Linked DNA regions of Macaca fascicularis. The protein of the gene in region 1 purifies or fractionates together with the protein of each later gene. This does not show direct contact. Links are inferred from orthologs where the notes say so. Each region holds a gene or a part of one and is shown on either strand. Other genes may lie near its edges.

Evidence for each region.
Region 2: the proteins of GPATCH2 (region 1) and CSNK2B purify together in Homo sapiens (co-immunoprecipitation; 3 studies listed by BioGRID and IntAct, with this or other methods). This does not show direct contact. The link is inferred for Macaca fascicularis from reciprocal best matches to the Homo sapiens genes GPATCH2 and CSNK2B.

The regions. Positions count from the first base shown.
Region 1 is NC_088375.1:75,289,963-75,293,268, reverse strand, and holds the end of GPATCH2 (G patch domain-containing protein 2), read left to right. Parts: intron 1-1,748; coding exon 1,749-2,172; 3' UTR 2,173-2,547; downstream 2,548-3,306. UniProt on the Homo sapiens protein: Enhances the ATPase activity of DHX15 in vitro.
Region 2 is NC_088378.1:140,053,874-140,058,408, reverse strand, and holds the start of CSNK2B (casein kinase II subunit beta), read left to right. Parts: upstream 1-1,488; 5' UTR 1,489-1,591; intron 1,592-2,174; 5' UTR 2,175-2,185; coding exon 2,186-2,257; intron 2,258-3,205; coding exon 3,206-3,308; intron 3,309-3,871; coding exon 3,872-3,987; intron 3,988-4,429; coding exon 4,430-4,505; intron 4,506-4,535. UniProt on the Homo sapiens protein: Regulatory subunit of casein kinase II/CK2.

The DNA.
Region 1 (3,306 bases):
ACAATTTTTTTATACACAGAAATACAGAGAAAAACATGAACTCATTGTGTCTATTAACTGGCTTAGATAATTATCAACATGTGGCAAACCCTGTTTCATCTGTATCCCCCCCGCCCCCCAACTCTTTTATTTCAACTGAAATACATCAGTGTGTTTCTCTAAAAGGTAACAGCTTCTTTTAAAAAAAAAAAAAAAAAAGTCTCAGTATCTTTATCCCATCTATAAAAAATAACAATAATCCCTTAATATATATGAATATGTATATATGCAATTGATATTTACATTTCCTTTATTATTTTATTGCCTTATAATCTCTCAGATTTCCTTTGATATATAAATTCCCCTTCTCCAGCTCTCTCTCTCTCTGTGTGTGTGTGTGTGTGCGCGCGCGCGCGTTCCTTGACATATTTTGGTTGAAGACATCGGGTGTTTGGCCTGTAAAATTTCTCACATATTGGAATGTTGCTGATTTTCTCTACATGGTGTCATTTAACATACTCCACTGTCCTCTGTGTTTCCTGTAATTGGTATTTAGATCTGGAGAACTGATTAGAGATTCAGGTTTGGTGTTTTGTTTTGTTTGGCAAGATTGTTCCAAAGGTGATATTGTACACTTCCCTCACTTATATCTCTTTCCGTGATTTATTTGGCATGATGATTATTGCCCAGATTTATTCATTAAGGGTTGCAAAATAGAGCTGTGTTAATTCTTTTAATATGTTCTTGTTACTTCTGTTGAAAACTTCCTCCTCTCCAACTACTCAATTACTTTAAGGTACAGATCATGTAGGAAAAGCAAGAGAAATACTTGATTCTTTCCCCTTATTAGATGTCAGTTTTCAAAATGAATTGGTTCCTAACATTTTCCAAAGGTGAACTCACTGATGTAAACACATTTGATGTGTTTCCTCCATTAGTTATAATTCTAATTGATGCAAAATTGTCTCATTTGTGGCCAATGGGAGATTATTTAAAGTAGTTGTGTGTTTCTTTGCTGCTAGTCTTTGCTTTCTGGTATGTTTGCATTTTCTAGGCTTTTTTTGGACCTTTTCTGACTTAGGAGTCACCCATTTCTCCAAGAAGCGCTGATTCCTTTACTATAATAGGAAATAGGTTTAGAAGCCAGAGTCTGGATGTTAGGAATGTCTCTGTTTCTAGGTCTTTTCAGATAAATTAGTTAGGATTTTTTTTTTTTTAAGAAAAAAAATATTGATTCATACTGATAGTTCCAGTTCAAATTCAAGACTTTATTGTTTATACTTTCTGTCATTGATTTTAGTCTTTTTCCAACCGTATTAAAAATATCACATCTTGGTATCGGAACATTCATTTTATTTACCCCACCATTCACAGACAGCAATCTCAGAATCACCATACTATCATCACTACCAGTAAAATAATCACTAAAAAGTGTTTTTTCTTTTTTCTACATTTATTTGATACTTACTATAAGTACACTAGGAATATACAGTCATTTTCCTGTGTTTTAAAGTAACTTGAAATCGTTTCTAAGTTTAGGTATGCCGATGTATAATTAGTGTCATTTTCAGCAACAGGTTTCTTTTTAACGTGTTTAATTTTGTTTTATAATAATATAAAAACACTCATGGGATCCATAATCAAATTTTCAGACAGTTATTTTCAAAGAAGTCTCACTTCTACCTGGTTCCCTCCATTTGTTTCTTCCCCAAAATGGGTTTTGTTTTGCTTATGATTTATCCTTTTTTTTTTTTTTTTTTTTTTTTGAGACGGAGCCTCACTCGATCACCCAGGCTGGAGTGCACTGGCATGATCTTGGCTCACTGCAACGTCCGCCTCCCAGGTTTGTACAAGCGATTCTCCTGCCTCAGCCTCCTGAGTAGCTGGGACCACAGGCACCTGCCACCACACCTAGCTAATGTTTGTATTTTTAGTAGAGACAGGGTTTCACCATGTTGGCCAGATGGTCTAAAACTCCTGACCTCAGGCAATCTGCCTGCCTCAGCCTCGCAAAGTGCTGGGATCACAGGCGTGAGCCACGGTGCCCGGCAGATACATCCTTTCATTGGCTTTTGTTCCCCTGTTTTTAAGAGAAACAGACATCTCTCTTTCTCTCCCTCTCTTACTACCTTTACCTTTCTTTTTCTCCTTTCTCTTGCCCTCATTCTCACTCTGGTATACCATTGGACTTAGAGGAAGGCTTTTTTTTTTCCCCCTAATAATTACCTGTTTATTATTACCTCTATATAACAGTCTTAGGCCCTTTCCCTTCCTTTTTGAGGCCCCTTGCTTCTGGTTCCCTACTGTGAGCAATGTTGAAGTTAGCTGGCCTCATGTGCCCTCCTTTCATTTGTTAATATCTGTAAGACAGTCAGGGAACTTATCTTATTTTTCCTATATACTTTTTATTTTCATCCATTTTTAGCCAGGCATGGTGGCTTATGCCTGTAACCCCAGCACTTAGGGAGGCAGGGGCAGAAGGATAGCTTGAGCCCAGGAATTTGAGACCTGCCTGGGCCATATAGAAAGACCCCATTCTCCACAAAAAGGAAGAAAGAAAGAAAAAAACAGGTATTTTCATCCACTTTTAGGTACTTATACTGTGTGTACATTGTCTGACACATACAGCGATTTAGTGCTATACTGCCTCCTTTTTTCTTTTTCTGTTCTAGTTTGATTTAGTTTTAGTTCAGTCCATTCAGTTTTAGTTCTATAACTAAATATATTTTTAATGATCACCACAAAATCTTAAGTCAATGCTTTTGTATTCTTTTTGTCTGAAGTTTATTCTCTAGTTATTTCCTCTGGAAGTGCTCATTCAAACAATATTTCCTGAGTTCTTGCCTGTTATTAGCAGTTTATGCATGAACTGTATATTTAAAGGTCATTTTGGCCAGATACACAATCCATGACTCATGTTTTCTTCTCTTAACTATCTTAAATATGTTACTCCAATGCCTATATAAAATGTTGCTTTCGATGTCTGATATAGTCTGATTTTCTTAGACATAAAAGTGACTTGGTTTTGCCTGGATGCTCAATGTGTATTTTCCTTTTCTTTAAAGACCAAGAGTTTTACCTAGACTATATTCTCATGTTGATAATTTTAAGTGATTTTTCCCAGGGATGAAGTTATGCTTTTTTGGTAGGTAGTTATTATTGTTTTATGTATTAGTCTGTTTTCATGCTTCTGATAAAGACATACCCAAGACTGGGAAGAAAAAGAGATTTAATTGGATTTACAGTTCCACGTGGCTGGGGAAGGTCTCACAATCATGTTGGAGAATGAAAGGCAATTCTTACATGTTGGCAGCAAAAGAGAATGAG
Region 2 (4,535 bases), on another chromosome or scaffold:
GTATATGCGTAAAAACACGAAACCCTACAATACCGACTTTGCTCCTTAGTAAAGATTAATCAAACTCCATGAGACAGTCGTCCAGAGGTCCTGCGTCCGGCCCCCACCCCCATCCTTACCAACAATAAATACCAGCCTCTTTCTGAAATCACTTTCTCACCCCGTAAAACAGACATACCAGTAGGAAAAAAAAAAATCAAACCTGGCCCTTTAAGTCTTCCGTGATCCCATTTCGGAGTTTCCTCTTCCCAAACAAAAATAGACGGGTCACTCCCTAGAAGATCTCGGGGAGAGGCTCCTATACGTGTTGCCGTGTAGCTTCCGTAACGCAAAATGGCGCTATTCTGATCAGCAGAGTTGACACAATCAAATAGCCACACGGCACGGAGACGCATGCGTGGCGACAACAACAACAAAAACCACCACCCACATTACTTGATGGCTCAGGCGTGCGCAAAGCTCCCGGTTCAGTTTCCCGCGCTGGAACTTTTCCAATAGTAAACGAGCAAAGCTCCGCGCGCCCAGGTGGCGCGAGCGCTAGGATCTGTCGGTTGGGGTCCTACTTTTACATAACGCCCCCACAATGCCCTTCGCCTTCCTCTACGTGGCCCCCGCTCCAAGCCCATTTTCTGGAGCTAGGAATCCACTCTCTGGGTTAGGAAAGGCCCTCAGGAGGCGGAGGGAAACCTGTGGAATGCCGAGAAGCCGTGTAATGAAATAACGTCACGCCTGCCCCTCACCATTACTCTGACCAGGGTTCGAAGGTCACACTTAGAGACTAAGGGGAAATGGAGAAGTGCAAGGGGACGAGCAGAATGGCTGGCACCACCTCAGGTTAGCGCACTGGGCCGTTCTGGTTCTCACCCAGCCCAGCCCAGCCCAGCCCAGCCCAGCCCAGCCCAGCCCAGCCCAGCCCTCCCAACCCAAGTCCCTACGCACGGAGCCAAGCCGCACCTCTCGCCTCATGAGGCCGGAGCCCGGAGTAAAACAGAAGGCCCGTCAAGGGTCTCTGGCGGGACTGACTCGCACTAGGGGCCCAACAGGCAATAAGGACCCAGCGCATTGGCCAAGGATAGGCCAGTCCCCAGGGAAGCAGCACCGCGTCGGGACTAGAGGGCAACTGTGAGGAGAGCTGCGAGGAGGGGTCCAGCCTGGCTCCCTCCTTTCCCCGCCCTAAGTCAGCTTCTTCGCCCAGTGAGCACACAACTGTATTGCCCAGGCTCCCAGGCCCCGAACGCCATACCTGGTTTCCGCTTCCGGTGGCTTCTCGTTGCGCCCCGCCCGCAAGCGTCCTCCTCCGGGGCTTCGTGACAGCCAGGTCGTGCGCGGGTCATCCTGGGATTGGTAGTTCGCTTTCCCTCACTTAGCCGGTTTCTCTCTCTACCGGGGACTCCGCGTCCCGGCATCCACCGCGGCACCTGACCCTTGGCGCTTGCGTGTTGCCCTCTTCCCCACCCTCCCCAATTTCCACTCCCCCCACCCCACTTCGCCTGCCGCGGTCGGGTCCGCGGCCTGCGCTGTAGCGGTCGCCGCCGTTCCTTCGAAGTAGCAACTTCCCTACCCCACCCCAGTCCTGGTCCCCGTCCAGCTGGTGAGTCTGAGGTCTTCGCTGCTCCTAGTCGCTTGTCGCTGGGAGCCGCACATGGGTCTCCGCACTTTGATATGGGGGCGGGGGGAGGAAGCAACCAGGTCCGGCAAGGAGGGAGAGGTGGCTTGAGGAGCGGAGGGGGGATGTGTGGAATCCGGTGAAAGGGACCTGACAGTCGCCCCCAACCCTTGAGAAAAGGAGGCGCCCGATTCTTGCTTGAGAGTGATAAACTTGGAAATCCTTGGGAAAGGCGCCGGGGTCGTGCAGAGACTTGCATTGGTACGGAGCCTGAGTCGAGGTCCCTGCCGGAGTTGACACAGAGAAGAGAGGGCCCTGGCTTTCGGGAGCTCCAGGGACGTGGGTCGGGCTGGTGGGTCAAAGTATCTGTTGGCTTCTTTCAAGTGGTGGGACCCCAAAGAATGTTTAACGTCAAAGAAAAGGGAACTGAGATGTAAATTGGAGGAGTTGGAGAGGAGTGCTTCAGAGTTTGGGATCCTTTAAGAAAGGGTGGTTCTAATGTGGGAGGAGGGAGGATACCCGAGGCAGGGAAGGAGAACTTGAGCTTTACTGACACTCTTTTTTTCAGCTGACGTGAAGATGAGCAGCTCAGAGGAGGTGTCCTGGATTTCCTGGTTCTGTGGGCTCCGTGGCAATGAATTCTTCTGTGAAGTGAGTTCTCTTCGACCTCCCTACTTGCTGGCTTCACATATCTTCCCACCAGATGTTCCTTCACGTATTCCACTTCTACACTGTTCTCTTACATACTACTTGAAAACTTCCCATCAACGAAGAGTCCCCTCAATAACCCCCGACGAACCTGTGCTAAAGTGGCAAAACTGGGGCCCAAGTTTCGACTCTGCCACCCTCCAGCAGGCAATTTGTGTCTTTTTCTTTATCTTTTTTTTGAGACTGGGTCTCACTGTGTCGCCCAGGCTGGAGTGTAGTGGTGCGATCTCGGCTCACTGCGACCTCTGCCCCCCAGGTTCAAGCGATTCTCCTGCTCCAGCCACCCAAGTAGCTGGGATTACAAGTACCCGCCACCACGCCCGGCTAATTTTTGGATTTTTAGTAGAGACAGGGTTTCACCATGTTGGCCAGGCTGGTCTCAAACTCCAGACCTCAGGTGATCTGCCCGCCTCAGCCTCCCAAAGTGCTGGGATTACAGGCATAAGCCATTGCGCCCAGCCTGTATCTTTTATTACTAAAGTTGTACTGCTAGTACCTGTCTCAGCTGGCTGTTAGGAAAATTGAAATGCTACGTATTGAAATGTTTTGTTCAGAAACCATGCCGTTCAGCTTCCATCCTCCTCAGCCAGCTGAGAGGACAAAACTGGTTCCTAGAGATGGAGTACAGGAGTAGGGACAGAGATCTTGAAAAGAATGTCTAAGAAAAAGATTGCTGTACCTGCTTATCCTTAGAAAAGAAAAGCCAAAGCTTTATGGGAGGGAGTATAGGTGAACTAGGGAGAGACGCAAGTACTTCTGCTGAGTTGGGAGTGAGAAACAAGCGGAACAGATGCAGTTGTGTTGATGATAAGGCATCAGTTAGAGCATTTTGCCCAGGTCAAAGATGGGGATTTTGATATGGGTTCCCTCTTGGCTTCCATGTCCCAACAGGTGGATGAAGACTACATCCAGGACAAATTTAATCTTACTGGACTCAATGAGCAGGTTCCTCACTATCGACAAGCTCTAGACATGATCTTGGACCTGGAGCCTGGTGAGGCACCCTCAGGGTTGTTTTGTGTGTGTGCATGCACTTTTTTTCTCTTCAAATCTATATTCACTTACTTGAATTTTGAAATTTCCTTTGGTTCTCTGATTTCTTTAACCCCAAATTCATGCTTTATTTTGATCCTCCACCTGACTGTGTCTAGTTTTGTGACGTATATCACTTGTTCCCATGTTTTCTAAATCCACAATTCAGATGTTTTCCAAAATATGTTTCCTCATGGGTCTGGTTTGCTATTTCTCCTGCTTTGCACCTTCCAGTCTAGAGTTTCATCTTTTGCATTGACATTGTTGCAGTTATGTATCGGGGAGGGAGCTGGGAGGGAGAGTGGGGAGCGGAGGCTAAAGAGGTGTGAAGAGAAGACAGAGCTGTCTTGGGTTGGCGCAAGGGTCAGAAGCCCAGGTTTCTGGGTCACATGCCCAGATGTTGGATGGGGTAAGGCCCAAAAGTAGGTGCCAGGCGAACTGAATAGCCCGCACCCCCTGGATATGGGCAGGGCACCTAGGAAAGCTGAAAAACAAGTGGTTGCATTTGGCCGGGCTGTGTTTCAGATGAAGAACTGGAAGACAACCCCAACCAGAGTGACCTGATTGAGCAGGCTGCCGAGATGCTTTATGGATTGATCCACGCCCGCTACATCCTTACCAACCGTGGCATTGCCCAGATGGTGAGGCCTCTCTGCTCCTAATTGCCTCCTTCTGAGCAGTAAGGGACACAGGTTCCTGCAGCAAGAAGTCATGTTTAAGCCTTGTTTAAGGAAACTGGCTGAGAAGAGGAGAAGAACCCCAGGCTTGGGCCTGGGAATTGAATTCTGATTGGGGGTCATCCTGAAGGGATAATTTTCAGGGAGGGAGACAGTCCTTGAACAGAGAGTTGTGATAGACTGCCTCTTCCTCAGGGAACAAACAACAAATGGCTCTGATGGTTTGTAGCCTGCCTAACTGGAAGAAAGGCAACATAGGAGTTTGAGAGCCCATCTGGGCCAGAGAAGGGGCCTCTGGACAGAGGTGGGAGGAGTGGGGGACAGAGTGATATGGGTTGAGCTGAGAAGGGAGTTGCCTCTTCTCTTCACACCTACCTGCCAACCCCTTCCATTTTATTCACTTCAGTTGGAAAAGTACCAGCAGGGAGACTTTGGTTACTGTCCTCGTGTGTACTGTGAGAACCAGCCAATGCTTCCCATCGGTGAGTGTTGAAGAAGGGAAAGGAAGGCAC